Alligator mississippiensis: one gene and its partners. The protein of the gene in region 2 binds, or shares a complex with, the protein of the main gene of each other region. Links are inferred from orthologs where the notes say so. Each region holds a gene or a part of one and is shown on either strand. Other genes may lie near its edges. The genes, in order: B9D2, MKS1, B9 domain-containing protein 1 and TMEM107.

Region 1 (7,905 bases), on a different chromosome or scaffold from region 2:
CGCAGCCGCAGCTCCCAGGGAAACCCAGGGCTCCTGCCCTCCCCCCCCCCGCTCTAACCACTAGGCCCGGGGCCCAGCAGGCAGCCCCCTGCTCTAACCACTACACCCCACTGCAAGCGGGGGGCGGGGCAAAGACAGGTCTCCAACCCCTCGCCCCGCCCCCCTCTCCCAGAGGACCCAGGTGTCTGCCCCCTGCTCCTTGCCCGCAGACCCCTCCCCTTCCCAGGCATCCGGGAAGCCCCCCCCCGCCCCCCTTCCCGGCATCTGACCCCTCGTTAGGCTGAGCCGAGCCATGGGACTGGGCGGGGGGGAGGGGGGGTCTCTGCCCAGCCATGGCAGGGGTGAATGGGGGGCACAGGGGGGATGGGAGCCGGCAGCAGGGCGCCCCCTGGTGGGGCAGCGCGGAGGTCATGGCAGCTAGTGGAGGGGGCTTCTTTTGCCCCTGGGGGGCAGGAGGTGCCCCAGGGGAACCTCTGGGCAGAGACAAACTCCCCCCGAGACCTCGTGGTACAAAAGAGCCTTTATAGAAAAAGGAGGGGGGGTCTGTACAAATGGGGGGGTCTCAGAGCCGGGAGGGAATCCTAGTGCAGGGGGGTCTGGCCCCACATCAGCGCCAAGACCAGCAGCGCGGTGGGGGGGCCTCTGTCCGCCCCCAGCCACAGCCCCTCGGCCTTCCCAACCTCCAGGGTGGGTCTGGGGGGGCAGGAGGGGCCCGCGGGGGGTCCATGGGGAGCCTCAGGGGGTCAGAGGGTGTGGCCCCAGGGGAATGGGGGCAGGGAATGACTGTGGGGGGCTCTGTGGGGGGGCCAGGGGATAGTGGGCGGGCAGGGGGAACCTGTGGGCAGTAGCGGGGGGCCGTGGGGGTCTCTGGGAAGCGCCAGGGAGTAAGAGGGGTATGGGGGGGGGGAGGTGTAGCCACAGGGGAACGGGGATGCAGGTAGAGGCCATGGCAAGCATGGGGGGGCTGTGGGGGGCAGAGGGTAAGAGGGACAGGGAGATCCCGTGGGGGGGATCTGTAGGGGGGGTTTATAGGGGGCCCCAGGTGGTAGGAGGGGCATTGGGGGGTCAGGGGGACTCTGGGGGTCCTCAGGGAGCGCCCGTGGGGGGGGGTGGTGCTAGCACTCAACGCCGTAGCGGGCGAAGTGGCGCGGCAGGACGCCGAGGCGCAGGTGCACGGTGCCGGCGGCGGTGGTGCGCAGGCGGTGGCGCTCGGGCGCGGCGGCGGCAGCCTGGGGCTGGCGCAGCTGGGGGCCCCCCCCCACGAAGCGCTGTGCCAGGCGCTCGGGCCACGACCCCCGCGGGCGCCACGTGGGGCAGGCGATCGTGTGGCAGCCGGGCGCCGCTGGCACGTGCAGGCAGCCGTAGCCGTACAGCTCCGTGCGCCCAAACCCGTCCTGGTGCCACACCTGCAGGTGCAGCTGCGGCCAGCCTGAGGGGGCAGGGGCAAGAGGGGATTAGGCAGGCTCCTGCGCCCCCATCCCAAAATGCCCCCGGGGGGGGGCAGGTTCTCACCCTGCAGCCCCTTGGTGGCGAAGTGCACGTCAATGGGGTGGCACCAGTAGGCCACGTCGTCCAGCTGGGGCTGGTCCACCTGCGTCTGCCCCTCCGGCAGCCCTGACAGCAGCTTCCAGGCGCCGCCTGCCAGGGGGGCACGGCCGGATGGGACCCAGGCACCCGCCCCCCACCTGCCCCCACGCTCCCACCACCAGGCCCTGCTCCTCTGCTGGGCCTGGGGAGGGAACCCCTCACCCCCCCCCCCAACAACCACTAGGCCCTAAAGTCCAGGAGAGAACCCAGGTGTCTGAGCCCCCTGCTCTAACCACTACACCCCACTGCTAGCTGGGGGGGGGGAGAGCAAAGCCCAGGCCTGCAACCCCTCGGCCCCCTCCGCTCCCAGGTGTCTGGGCCCCCCCCTCCGCCTGCTCCTTGCCCGCGGACCCCTCCCATCCCGAGGAGCCCAGGCATCCGGGAAGCCCCCCTCTCCCCCTTCCCGGCATCTCACCCCTCATTAGGCTGAGCCGAGCCACGAGACTGGGGGGGGGGGGGGAGGGGGGGCGGGCACCGACCTGCGTGGATGCCCCACTTGCAGAAGAGGCTGGTGCCGGGGAAGCCGCTGGCGCCCACGATCTGACCGATGACGTGCAGCTCGGCCATGGCCTGCGGACCCCGCGCCCGGCTCAGCACCCCGGGGACGAGCTGCCGGTGCCCCCCCCCCCACGCCCAGCCACTGCCCCGCACCCTGACCCCTGCCCCCACCCACTGCCCTGCGGCCCCCTGCCCCGCCCCGCACACCGACCCCCTGCCCCCACCCCCCAGCCACTGCCCTGTACCTTGACCTGTGCCCCCCCCCCCGTGCCCCCCGGGGCCCTGCCAGCTTGCACATGTGGACACATCTGTCACACCTGTGTCTGCACCCCCGCACATACCCCCTACCTTGCACACTCACTCTGTGCACACTCAGTGTAACAACCCCCATGCATGTCGCCACGCGCACTCGCTCGCTCACCCACCCTGCGCGTGCCCCCTTGCACACTTACCCCATGCCAGCCCCTTTGCACGCTTCACTTGTGCCTAACCCCTCACCCACTCACCGTGCAAAGCCCCTTGCACGCTTTACGTGATGACTCCCCTCTTGCAGTTATGCAAAGTCCATTGCACACTCACCCGACACACATCCTTGCACACTCACCGTGCCAACTCCTTTACATACTCTGGCAACACACACACCCTTGCACACACACCCGGCCCAGCCCGTTGTACCCGCTGGCACGCTCCCCCTATGCGCACTCCTTTACACGCTTGTCCCGTGCACGTCCCTTACATATTCAACCTGTGCACACGCCCTTGCACACTAACCGCGCAAAGCCCCTTGCACACCCCTCTTGCACCCTCACCCTATGCACACACGTGCGCCTGCACCCGCAGGACTCCACTCGCCCCTGCACTCCGGACCACTTCCGGATGCCGCTGCCACGGCAACCGGGCAGGCCCCTGCGGAATGCCGGCTTCTGATTGGTCGGAGTACCGAGCGCGCTGACGTATCACTCGCAGCCCCGCCCAAGAGAGCGGGAGGAAGGGAAGAGAGCGCTGCCCGCCATCTTGAGGAGGTCGAACTGCCGCACGGAGAGCGCCGCCATCGTGGGAAGGGAGCACGATGGCCGGGCGCAGCGCCACCTTGGGTGTGGCAAAGCAGCATTGGCCGCAATAGGAGAGCGCCACCATCTTGGGTGGGTCACAGGCCCGGGGGAGGGGCTCCGCCGCCATATTGAGTGTGGCAGGGCCCAGGGGCAGCTACTCTAGGATGCCGCCGTGCATGACCACCCTCATGGGGGTGCCACAGCTCCACCGCAGCCACCCCAGAGTACCACCGTCACCTTTAGGGTACCACAGCGCCATGGAAACCCCCGTGAGGGAGCCACAGGTCTCAGCTGCCTTAAGAGGGGCATCATGGCTCCAGGGCGGCCAGCGTGGAACTGCCCCAGCCCCATGGCAGCCACCCGGGGGTGCCACAGCCCCAGGGTGGCTGTTTTGTGGGGTGCCACGGCCCCTCACTGTACACCTGGGGCAGGCCATGGCCCTGGGGACACGTTTTCCAGCAACAGCCTTGCTGGCAGCCCGAGGTGCCCTGCCAATGCCCTGAGGGCCACGGATGGGCCCTACTTCCCCCTCCCTTGCGCCCCAGCAGCACAGGCCCAGAGGTAGATAGGTCTGCACGTAGCACCCTCGCTCTGCGGCCTGGCAGCCCTATGGGCCTCCACCCCTGCCTTCGAGAGGGGTCCGGGCCAGATCTGGGGCTGTCGGTAAACGAAGAGCCCAGCCACAGCGCCAGGCTTGTTAGGCAGAGGCTTGATAGGATGCTGCCCACACCCCCAGAGCTCATTAAATGCAGCTAACGGGTCCCCCGCCCCAAGCGCCACAGCAGCCGTGGAGAGCACAGGTCCCACCACCCCCTGGCAGCCCCTGCCCCCCAGTCCAGCCAGTGCCCCTCACCCCCAACCCACCGCCCCCTGCCCGTGACCAGAACCAAGGGGAAGACTGGGGGTGGGGGTAGGGAAAGGTGGAGAGAACCACCCCCCCCCGGGGATGGGGAAGCCACCAGTATACGTGTGTACACACACACACACACACACACACAGGTAACCAACCACAAAAAACATGTGTCATTAAGGACAAGACAGATGCTTGGGTGCTGGGGGGCAACAGCACAGACCGTGTGCTCTTTATTTGGGGACCCCAATGCCAGAGCAGGCCCCCCCATCCCACCAGAACACTGGGTAGCCCCTGGGCGGAAGCACCCCTCACTCCCACCCCTCCGCCCCCACTGCTGCCCCTCACTCCCGACCCACAGCCCCCCCCCACCTTCAGTTCAGCTGCCCATTGCTGCCCTGAGGCATGTCCTTGCCCCCCCCCCCCCCGGGTCTGCGGGGGTCCGGCTCCCCGCAGGGGCCTCAGCTCTTGGAGAACTTCCTTCTGGCCGAGTCACGGTAGAACTGGAAGATGGTGTCGGTGGCGCGCTGAGCCAGAGCCAGGCACTGGTGTAACTGGGAGGAGGAATAGAGGTCAGGGCTGCACTAGGACCCCAGTACAGGCAGGCAGGCAGGCAGCCAGGCCCCTCCCCCCCAGGAGACAGGACCCCACCCAAGGCATGCTGGGATTGCCGAGCACCCCCAGCCTAACGGGGACGACGGGGGCGCTCACCTCCTTGGCAGAGCAGGCCCCGCGCGTGGTGGAGAGCAGCAACCTCTTCTCCGTGCTCTCGAAGGCGAAGGTCAGCACCGCCCGGGCCTCCTGCGGGGCAAGAGTGTGACCCCAGGCGTGCAGGCTCCCCTCTGCCCCCCAGCAGCCCCCCTTCCTCCTGCAGCCTCACACCAAGGAGCGATCCCGTCCTAGATTTTAGGCCCCCCCCTTACTCCACGCACGAGGCATCGCCCCCCTCCCAGAGAATCCAGGCGTCCGGCTCCCATCTGCTCCCCCATCCCTTACACCCCCCCCCACCTTCTCCTGGCGGGCGCTGGGGTCCAGAGCGACGGCGCCGTCGGGCGCGAGGGCGCAGGTGACCCCGCAGAAGAGCGAGCGCAGGGGCAGCCCCGCGTCCAGCAGCGCCAGGCAGGCGGCGTTCAGGCAGCACGACAGCAGCTGGGCCCGGGGTCAAGGCCAACGACCCGGTCCCCGGGGCCTAGCGGTTAGAGCAGCCTCACCCCCACCCCACCCCCCGTCCTTCCCAGGGGGCCCGGCGAGGTTGAACGATGACGAGGGGGGGTGCATCTCTGCCCCCCCCAGGGCAGGATACGGAGCCGGCGTCGCTGACGACCTGCAGCACGAGGGTGACGGAGGAGCGGGGGTGCAGCTCGCCCAGCAGCGCCGCCTCGCACGCGCGCCGCACCATCTGCTCCCGGCTCCGCTCCAACACGCCTGCGGGGGGTCAAGGGTCAGCAGGAAGCCCCGCCCCCCGTGACCCTCCAGGGAGGGCATCACCCCCCAGTGCAAAACCCAAGTGTCCAGGCCTCTGTAGGCGCCCCCACCCCGTCACGTGATGGGGAGAAGCCCGTGCCCTCCCCCCCACGGCACGGAGGTGGAGGGCGGGGAATGACCCCGGGGTCAGGGGTCACCTCACCGGGGAGCCCCACTTTGGGCCGCAGCAGCACGTCCAGCGCGGCGCGCTCGGGGCTCTCGCGGCTGCTCCGCACCTCGGCCGGGCCGTAGACGCCCGCCAGCACCGACGTGTCGCCTGCGGGGCACCGGGGTCAACGGGGGCGGGGAAAGCCCTTAGCCCCGCCCCCACGCTCGAAGCCCCGCCCCCGCACCCTGCACGAAGGCGGCGGAGCCGTCGGGCCGCGACAGTAGCCCCTGCTCCACGGCAAAGGGCCGCAGGGCGCAGCCCGGCTCCGGCTCCGAGCCCATGCCGCCCGCACGCGCAGCTTCCGCTTCCGGGGCAGCCTTCCCCTCCTTCCCAACGCGGCTCCTGCCCAATCGCAGCGTCTCTTACGCGCAGTCCCCGCCCCTCGAGGCGGGTGGGGGGCTGGAACGCACGGCAGCCAATGGATGCGCCTCTTGGGCGCCCCTACCCCGGATAGGCCGGAGAAGCACGCGCCCCTGCCAATCACGGCGCCCAATGGGTGCAGGCCCCGCCCCTCTCCCTGACAGAGGGGCCGGGCGCGGCCCAGCCAATCAGCGCGGCGGGGTGCGCGAAGCCACGCCCCCTCTCCCTGACAGGGTGTGGCGTTGTTCCTCGTTAGCCAATCAGCACACCGCGTAGGCATGGGGCGGGGCCACCGTGGGGGCGGGGCTTCCCTAAAAGGGCAGAGACACGCCGTTGCTATGGTGACACCCCCATTCCCCCTTCTCCCATCGGCCCCCGCGCCCGCACCAAGATGGCGGCGGCCTGTGGCATGCGGAGGGGCCTGCGCCTCCTGCAGCTGCGGGGACTGCGCACGGGGGTGAGCGCGGGGGCGGGGCCTGCGGGGCGGGGCCTCGGCGGGGGCGGGGCCTGGTGGGGCACATCCCCCCTAGGTGGGGGGCACGCGAGGGGGGTGTCACGTGTGTGGGGAGGCAATCCTCCCACAGTGGGGTGGGGCAGGGGTTCTCCTGGGGGGGCGGGATGAGCTTTGCCCCCCCAGCAGTTACCCCCACCCTGTTTTGGGGGGGGCAGAGCTGGCTTTAGCCCCCCTGGCAGCTCAGAGGGGTATCAGCCCCCCCATCCTGGGGCAGGTGGCAAGCACGCCCCCCAGCCTCGGCCACTGATTGGTCCGCACCGGGGGCGTGCCCCCCCTCCCCCAGCTGGCCCCTCCCCGCGGCCTTGACATTGCCGCACCCAAGGGCACCCTGGTCCAGGAGGTGCCGGGGGGGGGGGGGGGGGGGCACAGGGACCGCCCCAAACACCAGCCCCCCCGGGTGTAGATGGAGGGCAGAGCCCACCCCTTCCCCGCACAGCTCGGGGGGCCCGTGACATCATCTGGGGGGGGCACCGCGGGGCCTGATGGGTAACGGCGCCCCTTCCCAGCATGCCGCGAGGCAGCAGGAGGAGTTCCCGTCGCCGGCGGAGCGCCCCCAGTTCCCCGGCGCCTCGGCCGCCTTCGTGGACACGCTGGACTTCATCCAGCCCAACGTGCTGGCTGGCATCCCCGTCTACCGCGTCATGGACCGCCAGGGCCAGATCCTCAACCCCAGCCAGGACCCCCAGGTGAGGGGGCGCGACCCCCGGGGTCACGGATCCGGGGCGCCGCCCACCCGCGCTGACCCCGCCCCCCGTGCCCGCAGCTGCCCGCCGAGACGGTGCTGAAGCTCTACAAGACCATGACGCTGCTCAACACCATGGACCGCATCCTGTACGAGTCCCAGCGCCAGGTGAGGCGCGCCTGGATGCCCGGGTCCCTTGGGGGGGGGGGGGCGGGCTGGGCTCCCGGCGCCACCTGCCTCGGTTTCCCCCCTGCCAGGGCCGCATTTCCTTCTACATGACTAACTACGGGGAGGAGGGCACCCACGTGGGCAGCGCCGCCGCGCTCGACCCCACCGACCTGGTCTTCGGGCAGTACCGCGAGGCAGGTAAAGCCCTGTTGTGACCCCCCCCCAGGGGGGCTGCCCCCAGCCCCTCGAGGCGGGGGTCGACGACGGTGCCTCCTGACGTGGCGCCGTGCCCCAGGGGTGCTGATGTACCGGGGGTACCCGCTGGACCTCTTCATGGCGCAGTGCTACGGCCACGCCGGCGACCCCGGCAAGGGCCGGCAGATGCCCGTGCACTACGGCTCCCGTGACCTGCACTTCGTCACCATCTCATCCCCTCTCGCCACCCAGATCCCCCAAGGTGAGACCCCTGCGCTCCCGACCTCCTGACCCCCCCTGCCCCGCTGGTGCCGCTCGCTCCTGACCCACAGCCCCCAACCGCGCCATTGCCCCTCGCTCCCACCC
Region 2 (6,852 bases):
AGGGAGTTCCATTCCTTCTGATGGAATTACTTGGCTGAATAAAGCTGCTCAAATACATGCATGCAGGACTGAGCTAAGGTTGATTTAGTGCTTTAGTGGCTGTAATCAAATGAAGTACACAGATTCTTTGTAGTATTAAATTGGATAGCTCCATCAAAAAAATGGTGAAAATTTAGGTCACAGCCATGTTTCAACTGGAGACAAAAAGCCCCTATCTATAGGAGAACCATATTTGTGAAAAAAAGGCTGATGCATTACCATTTGGTCAACATCTAAGGAAGTTTCATAGAAACTAACTATGCAAAAATTAAGATGGCCAATTCTTGTGAGATTAAGAAGGAAACATTAAGGCTGTGCTTTACACACAGATTCAGACCTCCGCCCTGAAAATATTTCACAGAAATCAAGCTGTACTTTTGTTGTTTACACACACACACTGGGAGAAAATATTATTGAAAAGCCTCCGAGAAGTACATCAGAAACCAGTTCTGCTTGTTCCTGTTCTCTAATTTGGTACTGACCACACAAGAGATCAGAGAGTAGCCACCCCTTCTAAACTGCAGCAGCACAACTGGGAGTCACAGGAACCTCTATTCCTCTTCGCCATTTGAAGAAGATGCCAGAGGCTCCTGCTGGCAAGGTCCTCCCACTCTTCCACTGGCTCACCTGACTGAAGAGTTTCTCCTGCCATCCAATCACTGCCTCTTCTTCCTCATCATCAAGACAGCTACCTAGAAGATAAGAGGTGTCAGACCACTGTTTCATATCTCACTTGACCCTCTGACCCTGCTTCAGAACTGTGAGCAAAGAGAGCCCTTTGAACATTTCTTCTCCATTCTGTTTGGTTTTACGGGCAGCATCTGGAACTCACAAGGTAGCCACACTGCCACATTTTGAATTCCCAAAGCACTTATACCTAGAGAGCAAGAAGCTTACGTTCAGATCCAAGCAAGGCTTCCGGTGCTTCTCTCTATGGTGGCATGGGAAGAGTACTCGCAGCTGAAGCCCCGTCAACCACCAAAGCCTCATGTCCACAGGCTGAATTCAATGGCTCTGCAGGCCCGATTCAGCCTGCAAGTCATAGGTTGCCAACCCCTGATCTAGACAAATTACCAGGCTGGACACTTTTCTGTATATTTTCCAGCTCTAATACCACATTAAAGAAACTACAAATGCATCAAGTCCTTATCATATCATTTTTACATGTAAGCGGTTGTAGCTGCCACTGGCATGTTAGGTGATAGTAAACAGAGTGGACTAAATGCAAGGGAAAGTGTCCAATGGAGGATTAAGACATGGTCCATACTATAGAGGTACTTGGGAACCCTTGACAAATATTCCAAGGAATTTGCTTTTCCCTGTGGACATCATTTGCTTTCTGTGGGTCTCTGAGTTTAGAAATAAAACTAGACGATAGGGAGGAATTGCTTTTCGTTTGCAGGAAAGAAAAAGAGCCCCATGAGTTGAACAGTCCTATGTCTAACAGTAAGTACACGACACCCTCGTTAACACAACTGCTTTTCCTCGTGAAGACAGCCCCAAAGAGACAGCCCCTTAGGCTGGTTGCACTTGCATCACCCTGGCTTGAAAGACTTCAGTTTGAATCTCAAACCCACCTATTGCTCCAGAGGAACCCAAGAGAGGCAAGACCTGCCTTAGTTGGGAGGAAACATTTGATGGCCTGGGGAGGGCGAAACCTTTTCAGGTTGCAAGCCAGACCGACCCAGTTCAGGTCAGAGGTGGGCTTGTGCACCGTGGGCAGGCGTGAGGATCCAGCTGCTGTCACTAGTGCTTTCTGCAGCAGCTAGGCCGGGAAAGCACCCACCACTGCTGCTTTTCTCTGTGGTCTATAGCTGGTGCTCATCCCCATGACAGCACGGGAAAACTTACCTGGCAGCGGAAACGCCATGTATCTGGGTCCAAGAAGGCAGTTTTCCTTAAGCCCTCCCAGGGATAACTGTTCTTCTGGCGCGGTTTAGTACCCACCGAGGTGTTGGGGCTTAATGCCTATTTTATGGAAATGGGAGGCTCCTCCCCAGCTTGCTCCTGTCACCACATGGTTGCAGGCAAGCGAAACTTGGGGGCATCCAAACCCCAAGCCTCCAGGCTGATGCCCGCCAAAAGACATGGGAAGGATCTAAAGCCCCGGCAGGTGGAGGATGTTCGCTGGTTGTAGAGCCACATATGGTTCGGGCCCGACTCATGGATTTGGACGTGATTTGGCTCAGAACACAATTAAAAAAAAAAAAAAGACAGCAGGGGAAAACAGCTGCTGAAGGGCCCACGGCTGCGGGGGAACGTGCTGCGAGCAGAGGGGGAAACAGCAGCGCCAGGTGTTTTCCTTGCGCAGTCACTGGGAAAAGCAGCAGGAGCAGCTGAGTCCTAACATCCCCCCCATACCGGGTCAATCTGGCTGTAGAAACCTGGCTCCTAACATCTGCCCAGCACGGACCCAGTGTGGGGGGGAGAAGTGGGTGCTGCAGCACCACATCCATGGCCAGGACCCGGGTGTCACCGCACTGCTGGACTGCCAGGGGCAAAAGCAGAGGCTAGGACAAGCCGGCAGAGGCCCCGCTCAGCCCGGAGAGGCCCCGGGGGTTGCAGGGCGCCAGGCCCTGAGGCTCCCGGGGAGACGTGGCTGGGGCGGCCGGCTCTGAGGAGGTCTCTGCGGGGGGACGACGCCACCTACTTGCCGCGGTGCTGGGGGTGGCCGGGCCCAGGAGCTGCTTCCCCGGCGGGCCGGCGGAGCGCGGCAGCTGCTGCAGGAGGAGGCCGGTGGACGTGACGCGCTGGAGCCGCACCCTGGCGGGGGCACGAGGGCACGGAGCGGTGAGCCCGCGGCCGGCGGGACGGGGACGGGGACGGGGTCGGGGACGGGGAAGGGGGGCGGGCCCTCACCGGAGGCGCAGGTTGCGCACGGGGTCGCGGGAGCGGTAGACGGCGCCGCCCGTGTCCGTGCTCCAGGCCGGCTCCGCCATGGCCCCGCCGCAACCATGGAGACGGCGGGCGCCGCCCCGTCTGCGGCCCAGCGCCCGCCCCGCCCCGCCCCGCCCCGGGCTCCAGCCTGAGCGCCGCGGGGGAAGGGGCCTCCGCCCCCACAGCGCCGCGGGAGGCGCGCACGGATGTCGCCTGGCTGCACCGGGGTGCCATCCGCACACCCACCAAGGCAAGCGGCAGATTAAAAGCCCAGTCGTGCAGGCGAGCCAACTGCAGCTGGCTACTAGCATCAAGGACGGTAAGTCCTTTTTCAGATCTGCGGGGAGCCGGAGGAACAGCAAGGGCAACACTGGACCCCTGCTGAACCAGATGGGACAACTGACAACCGACGCACGGGAAAAAGCCAGAGACTAGCTGACAGCAGCATCCTGAGGGATCCCCAGCACGGGTTTGCTGCCGGTAGGTCGTGCTTGACCAATCTCATTCCCTTTTACAACCAGGTGACCTATCACCTGGACAAGGGGAAGAGATTGATGTTGTATATCTTGACTTTAAAAAAGCCTTCGATCTGGTATCCCATGATCACCTCTTGGCAAAACTGGCCAACTGTGGCCTTGACCTCACCACGATCCGCTGGCTGGGGAGTTGGCTCCGCGGCAGGACCCAGAGGGTGGTGGTTGACGGAAGTCAATCGTCGTGGTGTGCGGTGATCAGTGAGGTCCCTCAAGGCTCTGTCCTAGGGCCTGTACTTTTTAACATCTTCATCAATGATGTGGACACTGGAGTCAGAAGCAGACTGACCAAGTTCACCGATGGCACCAAACTCTGGGGTAAAGCATCCATACCTGAGGACAGGAGAGTGATCCAGGCAGATCTTGACAGGCTCATGAAACGGGCGGATGAGAACCTGATGGTGTTCAACACCGAAAAATGCAAGGTTCTCCACCTTGGGAGGAAAAACCTGCAGCATCCTTATAGGCTCGGCAGTGCTATGCTGGTTAGCACTACAGATGAAAGGGACTTGGGGATCATGATTGACCACAAGATGAACATGAGCCTTCAATGTGATGCTGCAGCTAGTAAAGCGAGCAAAACGCTGGCTTGCATCCATAGATGCTTCTCAAGCAAATCCCAGGACGTCATTCTCTCGTTGTACTCAGCCTTGGTGAGGCCGCAGCTGGAGTACTGCGTCCAGTTTTGGGCTCCACAATTCAAAAAGGATGTGGAGAAGCTTGAGAGGGTGCAGAGGAGAGCCCCGCGCATGATCAGAGGTTAGGAAAACAGACCTTACGATGAGAGGCTGAGAGCTATGGGACTCTTCAGCCTGGAAAAGCACAGGCTCAGGGGTGATCTGGTGGCCACCTATAAGCTTATCAGGGGTCCTCACCAGGATCTGGGTGAACGTCTGTTCACCAGAGCACCCCAAGGGATGACAAGATCGAATGGTCACAAACTCCTCCATGACCGTTTCAGGCTGAACATAAGGAAGAACTTCTTTACTGTCTGAGCCCCGAAGGTTTGGAATAGACTGCCGCCGGAGGTGGTTCAAGCACCCACTTTGAATGCCTTCAAGACACATTTGGATGTTTATCTTGCTGGGATCCTATGATCCCTGCTGACTTCCTGCCCCTGGGGCAGGGGGCTGGACTCCATGATGCTTCAGGGTCTCTTCCAGCCCTAATGTCTATGACTTGCAGCTGCTGAATGCAGTGCATGACTCCTCGCACTCTTGGCTGGTATCAAATCTTGGCTGGTCAAATCAACATGCAGCATTGATTTGAGTGCATCTTAGTTTCTTCATGGCCAGCCCAATAACAGTTTGCATGTGTATTGTTTTCACAGCCTGTCTGCTTCATAAATGGAGCCCTTAACCCAGCAACCACTAGCGTCCGGACTGGGCTTAATACCTGTAGGTGTAGAAAACAGTTTGCTTTTCTTCTGCATTGGTTCATTATTAGATGAATATATTGATAGTCCTGGGTATGACTGAAAACTGCACCCGATCGGGGTTTGGGGTCACTGCGGTGGGACTGCTCGTGCTGGAGCAGCCCCTAGAAAGTGCTGCCAGGGCCAAGGCCCGAGGAAGGGCAAGTCTGGGGAACTCTAAAACTAGGGCTGCACCGATAAACATTTTTTGGCTGATACTGATAGCTCATTATTAGCCAGCCATATCGGCCGATACCGATCCAATTGCCAATACGCAGCCTGGCAGCTTGGAGAGCAGCGTCCGGCTGGTAAGATTGTGGGGGGGAAGGGACTGAGAGAGAGAAGGAGCGTGGGGGGCAGATCGAGGCCCCCACGGTGAGGGAGGGAGTGGGACTGGGGCAGGAGCAAGGGTAGGCACTGCCCAGCCAAGGCAGGGCGTGGGATGGAGCCAGCAGCACATCCAGGGGGCGCCGAGGGTGGGGAGGGGGAGCAGCTCCTGGCACTGTGTGCACACCGAGAGAGGTATGGGGGGCATGTGTCTCTCCGGATTTGTGCGTGGGGGTGAAGGCAGGCTGCTCACTGTAGGTTTGGGGCTAGGGGCTGCACAAGCGTCTTTATAGCAGGGGCTGGGCAGGTGGCAACAGTAGCACTAGGAGGCGGGTAGCAATGGGGTGGGCTACAGCCACCCCAAAATTCACCATAGCCTCCTCAGTAGCTCTCCCTCCCAGAGCCACAGTCACCCACCCCACCCTCCCCTGCCCCAGGCACAGCCCTGGCTCAGTACCCATTCTGGAAAGAGCCCAGTGCAGCCCCTGGCCCACTTTTGCCCCATGCAAATTGTGGCGGCACATGCCTCCCCCCAGGGGTGCACACAACAGCGGGAGCTCCCCACCCCAGACAAGTTGCCTGTGGCTTCACCCTGTGCCCCACCCCACCCCAGCTGGGCAGCACCTGCCCCAGTCCCACTCCCTCCCTCACTGGTGGCCTCAATTGTCCCCCCGCACACGCACACCCCTACCCACCCCATGCTCCTTCCCCCCCACATACTTACCGGCTGGGTGCTGCTCTCCAAGCTGCCAGGCTGCATTCCTGGCTGCATGCATGCTGTGGCTGTGCACATACACACAGCATTTATTGGTAATATCAGCTGCATCAGCCAAAAAGAGCTGATTGCGGATAATGTCAATTTTCCTTTTATCAGTGCCAATACGGTATGGACCAATGTATCAGTGCACGTCTACCTAAAACCCCAGCCCCCACTGCCTTGTGGGTTACCCCCTGGTGGGTAAAGATTAGAGGAACTGACCCCGAAATAAAAGTAAAGGCAGGGCCAGATTATTAACTAGAGTAGACAGCTATACCTGGCTCCCTCTGGAAAGTCTTTTCTGGTGGATCAGGTGGTCAAGCAGATATGCTCATCTCCCTGTCTGTGAAGGCAGATCTGTCAAGAGCTGTATGGAAAGTGTAGGGCATCAGTTCAGGTGCAATAGGAGCTGATGGCCATCTACTGCATCCAGACTTGTCTCCAGATGTCTTGACTCACCTAATGTCATGCCACTGGATTCAGACAGGCCTGGACAAAAGAGTGTGGGTGACTCTGCACAACTTTCCCTCACTTAAATCCAACTTGCACACAATTCATAACATCATCGTCATCTCCCATAGACACACTCAAGTCCTGTGGCGATGGGCGAGCAGCAAAACAGCAGGTGTGGATACACTGGGAGCTGTAGTTGCAGACCTGTACACAGGCAGTTCAGGGCACATGATCACTTCTCACTGGACCAAAGCAGCAGTGGAATTCAGCAGCCCCCTGGGCGACTGGGCAGCCCTATTTAGGTTCACACTGCTCACCTCTGTAGTATGAAGAAGGGGCTAGAAAAGATGCCCTAAACATTTCATAGACATTAGGGCTGGAAGGGACCTCACAAGATCATCAGGTCCAGCCCCCTGCCCAAGGGGCAGGAAGTCTACTGGGGTCAAATGATC
Region 3 (7,209 bases), on a different chromosome or scaffold from region 2:
CCACTGTTTAGGAAAAGGAAAAAAGCAGGATCCAGGGAACTACAGACCAGTCAGCCTCATCTCAGTCCCTGGAAAAATCAAGGAGCAGGTCCTCAAGGAATCCATTTCTAAGCACTTGGAGGAGAAGAAGGTGATCAGGAACAGTCAGCATGGATTCACCAGGGGTAAGTCATGTCTGACCAACCTGATTGCCTTGTTTGACAAGGTGACTGACTCTGTGGATGTGGGGAGACCGGTGGATGTGGTGTACCTTGATTTTAGCAAGGCTTTTGATACGGTTTCCCACAACATTCCCGCAGGCAAGCTAAGGAAGTCATGGGCTGGATGAATGGACTGCAAGGTGGATAGAAAACTCGCTGGAGCATCAGGCTTAATGGCTCGATGTCTAGTTGGCAGCCGGTATCAAGTGCAGTGCCCCAGGGGTTGTTCCCAGGGCTGGTTTTGTTCAATGTCTTCATTGACCTGGAAGGTGACATAGAGCACACCTTTGGCAAGTTTGTGGATGACACCAAACTGGGGGGAGTAGTAGATATGCTGGAGGGTAGGACTAGGATTCAGAGAGACCTCGACAAATCGGAGGACTAGAGCAAAAGAAATCTCATGAAGTTGAACAAGGACAAGTGCAAAGTCCTGCATTTAGGACTGAACAATCCCATGCACTGGTGCAGGCTGGGGGTGACTGGCTGGGCAGCTGCTCTGCAGAAAAGGACCTGGGGGTGACAGCGGACAATAAGCTGGATATGAGCCAGCAATGTGCCCTTGGTGCCAAGAAGGCTACCGGCATCCTGGGCTGCGTTGGTAGGAGCATTGCCAGCAGGATGGAGGGCAGTGATTCTTCCCCTCTAGTCAGCACTGGGGAGGCCACATCTGGAGTCCGGTGTCCAGTTTTGGGGCCCCCACTACAGAAGGGATGTGGACAAGTTGGAGTCTAGCGAAGGGCAACAAAAATGGTTCAGGAGCTTGGGGACAGGACTGGTGAGAAGAGGCTGAAGGAAATGGGCTGATTGAGTCTGCAGAAGAGAAGACTGAGGGGGATTGAACAGCAGCCTTCACCTCCCTGCAGGGGGGCTGCAAAGAGGATGGAGCTGGGCTGGTCTCAGTGGGGGCAGATGACAGGACAAGGAGCAACAGGCTCTAGTTGCAGCAAGGGGAGTTCAGGTTAGATATTTGGAAGATTTTTCTCCCTAGGAGGGTAGTAAAGCACTGAACAGGTGACCCAGAGAGGTGGTGGAGTCTCCATCCTTGGGGATTTTCAAAACCTGGCTAGACATTGCTTTGGCTGGGATGCTGTAGTTGGGGCTGGTCCTACTTTGAGCAGGGGGTTGCACTAGCTGTGCCGTCCTGAGCTCCCTCCCAACCCTAACTTTCTATGATTCTACGATCATCTCAGGGAAATGCATGATTTCAAGTTTGTGAACAGCTGACCAATTTATCCTGGGACAAAGCCTTTTATCCTGGCATTCTCCCTTGCTTGCTCCAAGGGCCTTATGGCTAAGGGCAAGCAAAACTCGGGGGCATCCGAACCCCCAGCCTCCGGGCTTGGGTCTGCCATTGGGATGCCCACCAAAGGATTTGGAAACATCTGAAGCCCCAGGTGCAGGTGGAGGATGTTTGCCAGTAGTAGGACCACTTATGGTTCTGCACTCTTGGATTTGGAATTAGTTTTGGCTAATTTGGCCTTGGATACAAATTTTAAATATATCTGTAGGATGCCAGGATTTATTTTATATATATATATAATTTTTTTTATATATATATATATATATATATATATATATATATATATATATATAAAATAAATCCTGGCATCCTACAGATTTACAAGCTCCTCGTCCCATATTAAGCACCTGTCAAGTCTTTGAGGGTAATAAACAGATGACAGGTTTAATCCACGGCTGATAGATTTGACTCGCATTAAAACTGATTCGCCTGAGATTTGACTCACGTTAAAAGATGTAGCTCAGCTGTCTGAACACCAGGGTTAAATGGCAATGAACTTGAATTAGCTGCGAGCGTCCCAAGGCCAAGCATTAATTTGGACGCTTCCTGCGTACTTGATGTGGACGAACGGCCAGTCCCGCTGGGGTTGCCTGAGAAATGCTGAAATCTGAATCTAATCGGTTGTCTAATCAGTAGCCCAGAGGAGCCCTTTCCCCCCGGATGATCGGGGCTAGTTCGAGCTCATTGCCATTACTCTTTGGGTCATGTTACAGACAAGGCTCATTGGGTAAATCCGGTATCTTTTATTAGACCAAATGGAAGACATGGAACAATTTTTCTTTGCAAACTTTCGGGTGCAAACCCCCTTCTTTGGGTCACCGTGCAGCCGGGGTGAGTGCAGGGGTGGGATATGTCTGGGGACAAAGTCCTGGATCGGACTTGCCGTCCAGATGCTTCCCACAGACGTCAAGGGGGCTCATCCCTTTGCATGATCCTGGGAGAAAAGAATTTATCCCGGGGCAAATCCCACCTGGTGGGTAAAACACGCCACCAATAATGGGGTGATGCCCCTCCCACCCTTGCCCCCTGCCCAGGGCGCCCCCTCCACCCTGCTGCCCAACTTGGTGCATGCTCTCTGCATTCCAGCCCAGCAGGGGGCGCAATAGCGCATGCGCTCTGCGCAAGCTCCTCCCCCCCACTCGTGCCCCGCAGAGGATGCAATGACGCATGCGTTCTCCAGGGAACCGGACCCGTGAGCACTAACCCAGCAGAGGGCGCAACAGCGCATGTGCTCTGCAGAGGCTCGGCGTCCTGCCCGGCACAGGGTGCAATGGCGCATGCGCTCTGCGGGGAGTCGGGGACATCAGCCTACAGGGGGCGCCCCGAGGAAGGGGGCGGTCACCCCAGACTCCAACGTGGGGGGGGGGGGGGGTGTAATGGCGCATGAGTGCAGCCGCACTTACCTGGGCGCTCTCGATCTGCCCCGTCACCATGAGTAGGAAGACGCTGGGGCTGGCGGCAGCGGCCATAGCGGCGGGCGGCCCGCCCCGGCTCGTTGCTAAGGGCCGCTGTCGCGCCGCTCCTTAGATACCGGACGGCGAGGCGCAGGGGACACACTTCCTCGCGGGCGGCGCTGCGCCAAAGGGGCGGGGCCAGCGCCGGGGCTGGAGCGCTCTGCCCTGCTGCGGGCTGTCCGGAGCGCTTCGCAATCAAACCCCGCCTGGCTTCGCTTCGCTTCGCTTCGCTTCGCTTTGCTTTGCTTTTCTATAGAAAAAGTGAAACCTGAGCTGGTCCCTTTTTTTGTATCTTTGTTTTTTGTTTTTACTAGAAAAAGTGAAACCTGAGCTGGTCCCTTTTGGGGTATTTTTTGGGTTTTTTAAAGTGAAACCTGAGGCTGGTCCCTTTTGTGGTTTTTTTTGTTTTGTTTTGTTTTTTAGGAGTTTTTTTTTTTAAACTAGAAAAAGTGAATGTGAAGCTGGTCCCTTTTGTGTGTTTGTTTTGTTGTTGTTGCTTTTTACTAGACAGTGTGAAACCTGGGCTGGTCCCTTTCCGGTTTTTGTTTTTTGGGGTTTTTTTTTTTGTTTTTTACTAGAAAAAGTAAAACCCAAGGCTGGTCCCTTTTGGGATTTTTGTTTTGTTTGGTTTTTTTTTGTTTTGGTTTTTTACTAGAAACAGTGAAACCCGAGGCAGGTTTTCCTAGAGTCAAAAAACCGCCCAAAACAAAACAAGAAGCAACCCCAAATGAAACCCAGGGCTGGCATTGTCGGAGTGTGACAAGCTTGGGGAGCAGGCGTACGGCTTTCCTCTGCCCCCAGATCCTAGGGAAAGCCTCTTCCACCTTCCTCAAGACGAGGTTGTCATTGCCAACCCTCCAGGACTGCCCTGGCATCTCCAGGAATTAGATATAAACCCCTAGGAGATGACTGAGAGTCGCTGGGAGGATAAATGAGAGGGCATTCATTCGGATAAATATGCAATGTTGAATCTGATTTGTACAGTAGTCCGGTGGGGTTTGTAAAATGTCAGCGTCCCGTGCACCGGCCTTCCGGACGTGAAGTCTGCGCACCGTAATGAATGTTGTCCCGTCACGGGATGAAACCTCCTGGAATAGATTCAAAGGAAGTTGGCACCCCTGCAGTCAAAACCCCTATTCTTCTTCACCAGGGAAGACCGCCTGCCGTTTCAAAACGCCTTGCCTCCCATCTGCTTTTCACAGAGCTCCTTCGGAAGCTGGAAATGGGGTGAAAATACCCCGCTGGTCGCCGGCTAGGATGGCAGAAGCTCTTCTGTCCAATTTAGATGATGGATTCATATAGGATGGGTCAGATAGGGATGATCCTGCCTCAGGATCCCTTGGTGACGTCTGGAGATCCCTTCCAGCCCGGCTTCTCTGTGAAGCAAGTTATTAAAAAATAGATACACTATTAAGAGAACGTAGAGGTGGCTGCGTGTTGTGTTTTTGAAGCCCACGCTGGAAACAAACTGGTTTTTCAAGGGGATCTGATGAGCTGGCTTTTGGGCTCTTTTGAGTCCCTGGAAACCTCCCTGTATCTCTGTTTCTGGACTCTGTCTCAGCCTTTTGCTAGGGGTTTATTTTGAAGTATTTCCTTGTTCTGGAAAACCAGATGAGTCCCTCGAGATGGTGGGCAGCCAGTGGAGAAGGCGAACCAGCACAGCTAACTCTAGGAGCCAGCACTAATCTACCTGGATGCATTCAGTAGGTGCGTCTACACATGCACAGTTACCGCACAATAATTTAGGTTACGGTGCAGTAACCGAAAATTACTGTGCAGTACGGGCACGTGTCTACACGTGCACGCCCGTACTGTGCAGTTACTATGGCGACTTAGGCTGACTTGGGTGTAAATTTGCTACTTGCATGATTGAGGTAGGAAATTTATGCCCAATTAGTTATTGCGCAGTAAGGCACGTGTAGTTGCCTTACTGTGCAGTAACACTGTGTGGACTGACTTGGGACTAACTTTAGTTAGTCTACACGTGCAGGTGTTACAGCATAGTAACGTTGTGCGTGGACTGACTTGGGACTAGCTTTAGTTAGTCTACACGTGCAGGCGTGTACGTGTGCAGGCGTTACAGCATAGTAACATTGTGTGTGGACTGACTCTGGACTAACTTTAGTCCCAAGTCAGTCCACACAGCCTTCCTACGCTGTAACGCCTGCACGTGTAGATGCTGGCCTAAAAACCGCTTACTGCGCAGTAACTTGCTGCACAGTACATGCACGTATAGACACGCCCAGTGTCTCTGTTCAGTTCGCTTGGCCTGTTCAAAAAGTCAGACTCGGGTTGAAAGGAAGTTTAAAGGTTGTCTCCACACAGTGGCATCCAAGAATGAAGCTTTAGGCGCGTCACACAGGCCTGGAACAAAGTGGGCATCGTGGGAGAAGTAGATTTGCTGGGAGAGGAGGAGAAAGGGCAAGTGCGTAGGTTGGGGCCAGGCAGAGAGAAGGCACTGTCTTGAAAGGAGTGGGCAGCCTCATCCCCCCACACCTTCAAAATCGACCCGTTCCTGCTTTCGGCACGCAGTGGCATGGTGCACCATAACTTCTGCCAGCTGTCCTGGGTTAAAGTTTAAAAACTGGAGGCCTAACTTGATCTCATGCCTTACTTACCCTGAGTGTCTAGACCACTGTCTACTGAATCTGCTTATATTTCACCTAAGCCACCATATACATACAAACCTGATCGTATATTCAAGTGCCGCAGGCCCCATCCAACGCATCTGGACACTGGGCTTGCCCTTAGACTTATTTATTCGACACATGGTGTAAACCTCTGATAAGAATCAGGTCAAGCAAATCCCATTTTGCTCTCCGATATCCAGTGGGCGGCTACAATCAGATCCGCAAGGCAGCGGCCTGACCGCATGAGAAACAAAACGTTCCTTGTACAAAACCCAGCCAGTTCTAGCAGGCGTCCAAGAGATGATTGCAAAATCTTTTGTTTCTGCCAGAGAAAAATAGCCTCGATGTTCACTTGGTTCCAAAACAAATATTTTGATTTGAAAATGTAACGTTCAGAGAATAAGCCTGTTTCTTTTGGACTTGCGGCACCTGAAAGAAAATCTAAACTTTGCTGCCGCATAAATAGGTAACGCTGCTGACTGCCACTAGATGCCACCAGCGGATTACCAGTTGTGGGGCTGCTCCTATCATTAAAAGGAAATATGGCTTACATTGCTGTTGAAAGAAAAGTTTAAAGGCACCACAATATTTTACAAGACAAAGAGGGCAGAGTAACTCTTAACCCTGCACGCTCACCATAACTGAACAGCGTTAGCTCAGGTTTTTGGAGATATTTAGGTGCTTAGCTCTCGCTGAACTCAGTGGGATTTAGGGGCGTAGAAACTTTGGAGAATCTCACTGTCCATATTTGAGCGCTTTAGGGAGCCATATAGTTAGGAGGGGGATTTGCACATTGGTCCAAGGAGACGATTTACAGTGCATTTCATGGGGGAGGACAGCTTAAGAAATGGATGAACACAACCACAGCTCCTTTAGCAGAACCTCTCATCCTGCAGAAGGGTGAAGTGCTGAGATGGGCTCGTTGCTGGGATCTGCTGAGACTATTGCTGAATGACGAGGGGAAGAGATATTGCTCCCCACCGGTGAGAAGTACCATCTTGGCTGAGAAGCTGGAGGCACTGACTGCTGAGGTTCCCAGTCTACTTGGAAAAGTTTTCCCAGCGATGATGGACGATACTGTGGGGGGAAAAATAAGTCACGTACATCTACATTTGCATCATGGTGCTGGCAAGAGCCCCAGTGTAGGGACATTTATACTTGCAGGATCGGGCCTTTGCCCATAGTCTAGTCAGGGAACTGGTATATTATACACCAGTAAAAGAACTGGTGTGCCTAAGTAGCTTCTCCCTGGGGTGTCTGGTTGGTACAGCTACTCCAGTTATCTTTTCCCAGCGTGAACAAGACCTCAGGCCTTTCCAGTCTGAACTCCAGTGCCAAGTCGGACCCCATAACAGCCCCGCATCCTTCACGGCTCGAGGACACAACATGCACCGGCCAGCACGTTTCAGCCATGCAGCCAGGCAAACATGAGATACGTGAGACGGCTCGTGTCCGCACGCAGGCAGGCTTTGCAAGCCACCTTAGCCAGATGAAACTTGGGGCAACCTGTCACCTCCAAGCTCTCGATTCCCAAACGGTTGCTAACCAGGGGTGCAAATTAGGGCAGCCTCCTACAAGGTCTCCTCTTATCAGACATCACAGTGCTGAGCACAGTGTGCGACGAG
Region 4 (7,662 bases), on a different chromosome or scaffold from region 2:
CTCCCAGTGCGCGCTCAGGAAGAGGGAGAGGCTGATGGCTGCGCCACAATGCGCCCCCAGTGCTGCGCTTGCTTGTCAGGGAAAGCACCCGGGACCCGGACAGCCCTGATCCAGGGGCACCTGCTACCGGGGAGGGGAGGGGCAGAGTCCTTCCACCTCCAGGGGGCCCCAATCCGGGCCTGATCCAGGGGCACTTGCTGGCTGGGGTGGCAGGGGTCTTCCCACCTCCGGGGGCCCCGATCTGGGCTTAATCTGGGAGCACCTGTTAGCTAGGGGGGAGCAGGGGTCTTCCCACATCCAAAGGGGACTGATCCAGGGCCTGACTGGGGGGGCACCTACTGGTTGGGGGGGAAATGGGTCTTCCACATCCAGGGGGCCCCGATCTGGGCCTGATGGCAGGGCACAGATCTCTCCACATCCAGGGGCCCCCGATCCAGGGGTACCCACTGCCTGCAGGGGCGGTGGGCACAGGTCTTCCCACCTCTGGGAGGTGCTGGCCCAATCTGGGGCACCCACTGGCTGGGGGGGGGCAGGGGTCTTCCCACCTCCAGGGGGCCCCAATCCAGGCCTGATCCAGGGGCACTTGCTGGCTGGGGGGCAAGGGACAAGACCTCCCCGCTCCAGGTCTGGGGGAAGGGAGGTTGGGGGCACTGACCTGCCGCAGGCAAAGATCCCCCAGTAAGTGGCGCTGTCCCACTGCTCGAAGAGGACGAAGAGGAGGGCAAGGGCAGCGCCCACGTGGGCCCCGCAGGCTGGGGGGGTGTCAGGGGCCACAACCGGAGCTGCAGGGCAAGACCCCCCAAAAGAGACCCCCCCCCAAAAAAGAGGTAGAAGGATACAGAGCAGGCCCTGCAGAGGGTTGAACATGGAGACCCCTGAGAGGAAGCCAGCCAGCTCCACCGCGAAGAGCCCCAGCGTCACCGACAGGGCCACCACCAGCCTGCAAGGGTGGGGGAGGAAGAGGGTGGGCCCAGGATCGGGCCCCCTGCCCCTTGGGTGCCTGGCAAGCTCCCAGGCCTGGAGAGACCCCAGGTGTCCAGGCTCCCAGTTGCCCCCTGCTCTCACCCCCTGGTCCTCACTCCCGTCCCAGCACCCAGAGCAGGGGGGCTTTCAAGACCCCCCCCCAAAAGCAGAGAGGCCCCATGTGTCCAGGCTCCCAGCCCCGTCCTGCTCTCGCCCCCGGCCCCCCAGGTACGTCCGGGTGGGCACGCACTCGGTGTCGCGGCGGCCGTACTCCTCGGGCGTGTGGTCCAGGGGCAGCGATGCCCGGACGTTGTCCTCCTGCGGCACAGACAGAGGCACGCGGGTTGGGGGGGCCGCGCTGCAGGGACCCCGGGCATCAGGACCCCCCCCCACTTTCACCCGCCAGGCCCGTGTGTGTGCACAGCGTGCGCCTCTTCCCCCGGGTGCAGCCATATGGGCGTGCGGCATGCCCCCTGCGTGTAGGTGTCTCATGAGTGTGCACAGTGTGTGCACGCTGCCTGTGGTGGCAGGCAGTGTGCAACCCATGTGTGTGCAAGCTGCACGTCCCCTATGTGTGCACGACACAGGTGTGTCCCCTGGGGTGCATGATGCATGTCCATCTCCCCTGTTTGTGTGATGTGTGTGCATGTCTCATGCATGTGCATGATGCATGTGCATGTCCTATGAGCGTGCGTGGTGTGCACGTGTTGCCTGCAATTGCAGGCAGTGTGCGCCTCATGTGTGTGCAAGGTGTGCCCCTATATGTGCGCGATGTGGGGGTGTCCCCTGCGTGTGCATGTCCCACGTATGTGTGATGTGTGTGCATGTCCCACACGTGTGCACGATGCGTGTGCATGTCCCCATACGCGTGCACGATGCGTGTGCAGAATGCAGGCGCGTGGCGTGTGCAAGCCGCCCTACCCGGGCCCAGAAGGCGCCGATGACGATGACGAGATGGGCCACGAGCGCCAGGAACCGCCACGGGACCAGCGCCGCCGCCGCCGCCATCGGGCCGGTGCCCGGCAACGCCCCGCCCCCTTCCCGGCGGCCCCCGCGCCCCTCCCCCTCCCCGGGTAACGCCCGGCGCTCTGCTGGGGGGGCAAGCTGTGCCCTGCGGTGTGACGTCACCCCGCGCTGACGTCATACCCGGAGTGACGTGGCCGCCCCGAGCGGTGAAGGCGTCGGGCTCGAAATGCCCCGGGGGCTCCGCGCGCGGGGTCGGGCTGCCCCCCCATAGTTGCCGGGGAGGGGGGCATTTTTGGCACCAGCTCTCCCCCCGCAAGGGAAAGTCCCCCCCATGGGCAAATGGCAGCACCCCCCCGTGGAAGAAGGGTAATCCCTCGCCATGGGCAAATGCCCCCCCCTTGCGGGCTCTGGCACCTGAGGGGTTAATGCTGCCCCCCCCCCCACGGGGTGCTACGATGGGGGCCCCAAGCGCAGGACCCCGCCCCGCGACGGGGGCGGCTCACCCCCCGCCCCCCGCCTACGACGCGAAGTCTCCGGCTACCGTATTCCCCCGCCTACGACGCGCGCCCGCGAGCTGCGGGCAATTGCGGGCTCGGCCCCGGGGCTGGCGGGGGCGGTGTGCCGACCGCGCACGTGCCAGGACGGCTGCCAGGACACAACGCCATAGACGTCCCGCCCCCGCCCCCCCCCGTCCTGCCGGACCCCTGGGAGCCCCAGCTGGCCCCGGGCCCTGAGGCAGCCGCCGGAGTGCAGCCGCCACGGCGCGGGCACGCGCGGTAAATGTAACGTGATACAACTGGGCAAAAGCGGCCCTGCCTGGCGCGGCCCGGGCTTCCCGAGCCCCTGCTCCGGGTCCGCATCGTCCTCCTCGTCGCCTGCCTCGGCTCCCGTGGGGGGTCCCGCCTGCCGGGGCTGGGGAGGGGCCAGAGGGGAGTTCCGGGCGGGGGGAGCCTGCCCTACTGGAGCCCCCAGTTTTCGCACTGCTTGGTACACACACACACACATACTTGCTATCACACACACACTCCCCAGGCATCTCACACACACACATGCGCACACATACGGAAAGACACACAAGGGGCATGTCACATGCTCTCTGCCCCGTCCCCCTTAGATCCCAGCCCCGCCCCCCGACACTCCGGAGACCCCCCTCCCTGCTCCATCTGTTCACACCGCCCCGGGGTCCCTGGGTGGGAGCTCGTGCCGCCCCCCCAGGAGGCCCCGCTGCCCAGGTCACGTGGGGTGCCTGGCCCTGGAGGGGGGGTCACTGCACCACGTGTGCCCGTGTGTATGTATGGGTGGGTGTGTGGGGTGTCCATATGTATGTGTGCCTGTGGGTATGTGCATGTGTGTGCGTGTTTGTGCGCGTGTGTGTCCCAGATAGTGTATGTGTGCATGTATGTGTTCATTTTGGACACCTGAGCTCTGTGTGTGTGTACATGTGTGTGGGACACCTGGCGGGGGGGGGGTGTCCATGCCCTGGATGCCTGGGTTCTCTGTCTCCCAGACACCTGGATTGTGTGTGTGTGTCCTGGACGTCTAGGTTCTGTTTGTATGTGTGTGTCCCCCACAAATGCCTGGGTTTTGTGCGTGTGTCCCACACACCTGGGTTCTCTGTGCACATAGGTGTGCATGTGTGTGTGTCCTGGATGCCTGTATTTTTTCTGCATGCATCTGCGAGAGTGTGTGTGTGTGTCTGAGCCCCCTGGGTTACCTATGCCTGAGCGCACACGTGTGCATGCTTGTGCGTGAGTGCATTTCCACGCATGTATGGGTCTATGTCCTGGATGCCTCAAGAGTTTGTACACGCGTGTGTGTGTATGTGTGTGTCCTGGACATCTGGGGTTTGTGCCTGAGTGCATGTACTTCCGTCCGCCCCGGACACCTGGGTCCCATGGGTGTCCCTGGGGTCCCCACAGCCTTCCCCTCCCCCACCGCGCCGTCTCGGTGCTGCTGGCACCTGGGGGAGGGGGCGGGCAGCCCAGGCGCCCCCTCCTGAGTCTCAGTTTCCCTTTCTGCAAGGAGTGGGGGACGGAGTCATGGGGCCGCTGACAGCTCCCGTGGGGGGTTCACACCTGCTGGGAAGGGGCCAGAGGGGAGTTCCCGGGGGGAGGGGGTGTGCGCGCATGCGTGGGGGGGGGGAGAAGCCCTGCAGTACTGGAGCCCCCAGTTGTGCACACTTCCCAGTACACACATAGACCCACATATACATGCCATCACTCACTCACACACACAGAAACATACTCAACCTAGGAATCTCGCAAACACCCACAAAACCCAGGCACACAACGCAGGCATCACACCCTCACCCCCACATCACAAACACACACAGATAGAAACACAGACAAGCTATGCATCACACACAGATGCACACACAAACAGAAATATGCACAAGCCAGGCAGCGCACACACACAAAACCTAGGCATCTCTCACGTGCACAAGCACACACCCACCCCGAGCATCTGACATGCATGCACACACACGCACACATACCCTAGGAATCTCTCTTACACACAAACCCCAGACACACAACCCAGGTCTCATACATACACCCCCACACTCACATCACAAACACACACACACATAGAAACACACACGACCCAGGCATCTCACACACACACAATCCAGGTATTACACGCACAAGCACACAGAAACACACACAGCCAGACACACACATACAAAAACACACACAGCCCAGGCATAGGCAGGCAAGGTTCCTTGGGTGAATTTGATATCTTTTATTAGACCAACCCAAATGGTTGGAGAGTAGTTATTAAGCAAGCTTTCGGGTTCAAAAACCCTTCGTCAGGCTAAGGAAGTTTCAGCAGTTGGTGTGTGCTCTTCCTGGATGGAAGAGCCCAGGCATCACACAGACACAAACACACACGCACAAAACTAGGCATCTCTCTCTCTTACCCTCCTCCATGTCACACACATTCAGAAATACACACAACCCATGCATCACACCCCCTCACACACACTTCACACATTCAGAACCCCCCCCCCAAGGCACCTCACTCTTGCACGTGTGCACACCCCCCAGGCACCTCACACATGCACACCCCCCCAGGTGTGAAGCGGATCTCACACTCCCCCCCCCTCCGGACATGCGGGGCCGCCTGTTCACACGGGGGGGGGGGGAGAGGGAGGAGGGGAGCTCGTGCCGGCCATGGGAGTGAGGGACATATTGCACCTCGTGTGCCCATATGTGTGTGTATACACCCACAAGTGTGTGTGTGTGCCCAAGCCTGTGTGCCATGTGTGTGCCCTTCTGTGTGCGTGTGCATGCCCCTGTGTGTGCATGTCTGCATGTGTGTGCCTGCATGCATGTGCACATGCCTACCTGTGTGTGTGTGTCTGCATGCCCCTGTGTGTGCATATATGCGTGTGTATATGCCTGCATGTGCCCTTGCATGCATGTGTGTCTGTGTGTCCACATGTGTGTCTGTGTGCCCTTGTGTTTGCATGCGTGTGTGCCCATGGCATAAACATAACCCCCCCATGTGGGGCCCCATGGGAACGGACATGCAATGCTTGCACACGCGTGTGGTGGGGGGCAGGGCTAGCGGCTGGGAGGAGGGAGTGTGGGAGGGGGAGCCTCCAGTTGTGCACACTGCTCGGTATGCACACATGCACACACGTCACCCAGGTATTGCACACACATACACACAGAAACACACATCCCAGGAATCTCACAAACATGTGCAAAACCCAGGCACACAACCCAGGCATCACACCCCCACCCCCACATCACAAACCCACACATGTAGAAACACACACAACCCAGGAATACACCACACACACACATACAACCCAGGTATCACATGCACACACAGAGAGAAACACAAACAACTCACGTATCACACACATGCATACACATACAGAAACCCACACAGCCCAGGCATCACACAGACACCAACACACATACAGAAATCCTAGGCATATCTCTTTCTCTCTGTCTCTCCCCCACCCAGGAATCTCACACACCCACAAACCCCAGGCACACAATCCAGGCATCTAATCCCCCACACCCACGTCACAAACACACACACATACACACAACCCAGGCATCACACAGACATGAACACTCATTCAGAAACACGCCCCCCGCAACTCACACATGCACCCCACACCCAGGTGTGAAGCGGATCTCACACTCCTCCCCGCCCCCCGCGGCTCTGACACACTCCGGAGATGCGGGGCCGCCTGTTCACACCTGGCGGGAGGGGGGGGGGGGCTCGTGCCAGCCGGGGGGGGAGGAGCAGACCCCAGGACGCCCCGCGCCCAGGTCACGTGGGTTGCCTGGCCCGGGGGGGGGGGGTCGGGGAGCACTGTACCCCGTGTGTGTGTGTGTGTGTGTGTGTCCCTGTGCTCATGGACATGTGCCCGAGTGTGCATGTGTGAGCGTGTGTGCCCTGGTGCGTATGAGCGTGTCGGATTGTATGTGTTTGTGTGTGCCCCTGTGGGTCTGTGTGTGTGTGCACACCCGTGTGTGTGTGCGTGTCTGTGTGCCCGCATGTGTGTGTGTGTATGGGTGCCCGCGGGCGTGTGTGTGCCTCTGTGTCTGCGTGCCAGGTGTACATAGTGTGTGTGTGCCCCTGTGCTGTGTGTATGTGTGTGCCCGGGTGTGTGCATATACATGGGTATGTGTGTGTGCCCGCGCGTGTGTGCGCCTTTGGTCACATGTGTGCGCGTGCCCGTGTGTGTGCATGTCTGTGTGTGTACTCGTGTGTCCGTGGCACGAACGCGCCCCCCCCGTGTGGGGCCCCGTGGGCGCGGACGTGCGGCGTTTGCACACGCGTGTGGCCCGGGCACGTGCCCCAGCCTCGGTCCCAGCCCGGCCGGAGGTGTCCCCACCCTCCCCACCCCCCGCGGGCGCACGTGCGGCTTTGAAGCGGATCAAAGCGCCGCCGCCGCGGGTTCCCACGGGAACAGCCGGCGACCCCCCGCTTCCATCGCTGGAGGGGACCCAGGCGTCCGGGGCCCCCATCGCAACCTGGGCGTCTCACACACACACACACACACACACACACACACACACACACACACACCCAGATATTCGGGGCACATACACGTGCACACATACACACACACAGATATTCGGGACACGGGCGCACCCCCCCCCCCACACACACACACACACACGGTGTCCGGGTTCCCAGCCCGGTCCTGCCCGCCCCCACCCCACCCACCTCTTTCGGGGGAGGAGGGAGATGGGGCCGGGGGCGGGGGTGCGGGACAGCGTGTCCCGGACGCCTGGGTTCCGCGTGTGCGTGTGTCATTTCTCACGCCTGGGTTGTGGTGCCCCAGAGCCCCGGGGGGAGAGGGGGGGCGTGCTCCGGACTCCTGGGCCCCGCGCCCCGCACGTGCGGTGCCCCCGCCCCGCCCCGGCGGGGGGGGCGGGGGCCGGTACTTAGGGCGGGGGCCGCCCGGACCGCCCCGCACAGCCAGCATGAGCCGCCCGCAGCCCGCGCCCAAGAGCGAGCGCAAGGTAAGCCCGGCCCGGCCCCGCCGCCCCCGGCCGCCAGGACCCCCGACCCGACCGGCCCGCGACCCCCCGGGACCCCGACCCGACCCTCCAGGACCTCCGACCCACTGGCCCGCGACCCCCCGGGACTCCCGACCCGACCCGACCCGACCCGACCCGACCCGACTCTCCCGGGACCCCCGGCCCCCGCCCGCCGCCTCCTCCCCTCTCCCTCCTTGCAGCTCCTGAAGCCGCTGCTGGAGAA

What was found.
Region 1: MKS1 (region 2) and B9D2 share a complex: the UniProt entries of both Homo sapiens proteins name them as parts of the tectonic-like complex. The link is inferred for Alligator mississippiensis from reciprocal best matches to the Homo sapiens genes MKS1 and B9D2.
Region 3: MKS1 (region 2) and B9 domain-containing protein 1 share a complex: the UniProt entries of both Homo sapiens proteins name them as parts of the tectonic-like complex. The link is inferred for Alligator mississippiensis from reciprocal best matches to the Homo sapiens genes MKS1 and B9D1.
Region 4: MKS1 (region 2) and TMEM107 share a complex: the UniProt entries of both Homo sapiens proteins name them as parts of the tectonic-like complex. The link is inferred for Alligator mississippiensis from reciprocal best matches to the Homo sapiens genes MKS1 and TMEM107.

What each region holds. Positions count from the first base shown.
Region 1 is NC_081838.1:1,541,092-1,548,996, forward strand, and holds B9D2 (B9 domain-containing protein 2), read right to left. Parts: upstream 3,012-7,905; 5' UTR 2,592-3,011; intron 2,158-2,591; 5' UTR 2,155-2,157; coding exon 2,067-2,154; intron 1,639-2,066; coding exon 1,513-1,638; intron 1,430-1,512; coding exon 1,116-1,429; 3' UTR 506-1,115; downstream 1-505. Other genes in the region: EXOSC5 (exosome complex component RRP46), read right to left, coding at 4,449-4,541, 4,699-4,788, 4,996-5,136, 5,291-5,412, 5,615-5,728, 5,805-5,901; BCKDHA (2-oxoisovalerate dehydrogenase subunit alpha, mitochondrial), read left to right, coding at 6,372-6,437, 7,001-7,180, 7,258-7,344, 7,434-7,542, 7,640-7,801. UniProt on the Homo sapiens protein: Component of the tectonic-like complex, a complex localized at the transition zone of primary cilia and acting as a barrier that prevents diffusion of transmembrane proteins between the cilia and plasma membranes.
Region 2 is NC_081837.1:29,523,839-29,530,690, forward strand, and holds the start of MKS1 (tectonic-like complex member MKS1), read right to left. Parts: upstream 3,009-6,852; 5' UTR 2,996-3,008; coding exon of another isoform or gene 2,979-2,995; coding exon 2,899-2,978; intron 2,803-2,898; coding exon 2,686-2,802; intron 732-2,685; coding exon of another isoform or gene 728-731; coding exon 667-727; intron 633-666; exon of another isoform or gene 1-632. UniProt on the Homo sapiens protein: Component of the tectonic-like complex, a complex localized at the transition zone of primary cilia and acting as a barrier that prevents diffusion of transmembrane proteins between the cilia and plasma membranes.
Region 3 is NC_081836.1:55,341,154-55,348,362, forward strand, and holds the start of B9 domain-containing protein 1, read right to left. Parts: upstream 3,014-7,209; 5' UTR 2,970-3,013; coding exon 2,904-2,969; intron 1-2,903. UniProt on the Homo sapiens protein: Component of the tectonic-like complex, a complex localized at the transition zone of primary cilia and acting as a barrier that prevents diffusion of transmembrane proteins between the cilia and plasma membranes.
Region 4 is NC_081838.1:25,049,587-25,057,248, reverse strand, and holds the start of TMEM107 (transmembrane protein 107), read right to left. Parts: upstream 3,013-7,662; 5' UTR 1,972-3,012; coding exon 1,885-1,971; intron 1,282-1,884; coding exon 1,214-1,281; intron 941-1,213; coding exon 840-940; intron 753-839; coding exon 656-752; intron 121-655; coding exon 15-120; coding exon of another isoform or gene 1-14. UniProt on the Homo sapiens protein: Plays a role in cilia formation and embryonic patterning. Requires for normal Sonic hedgehog (Shh) signaling in the neural tube and acts in combination with GLI2 and GLI3 to pattern ventral and intermediate neuronal cell types.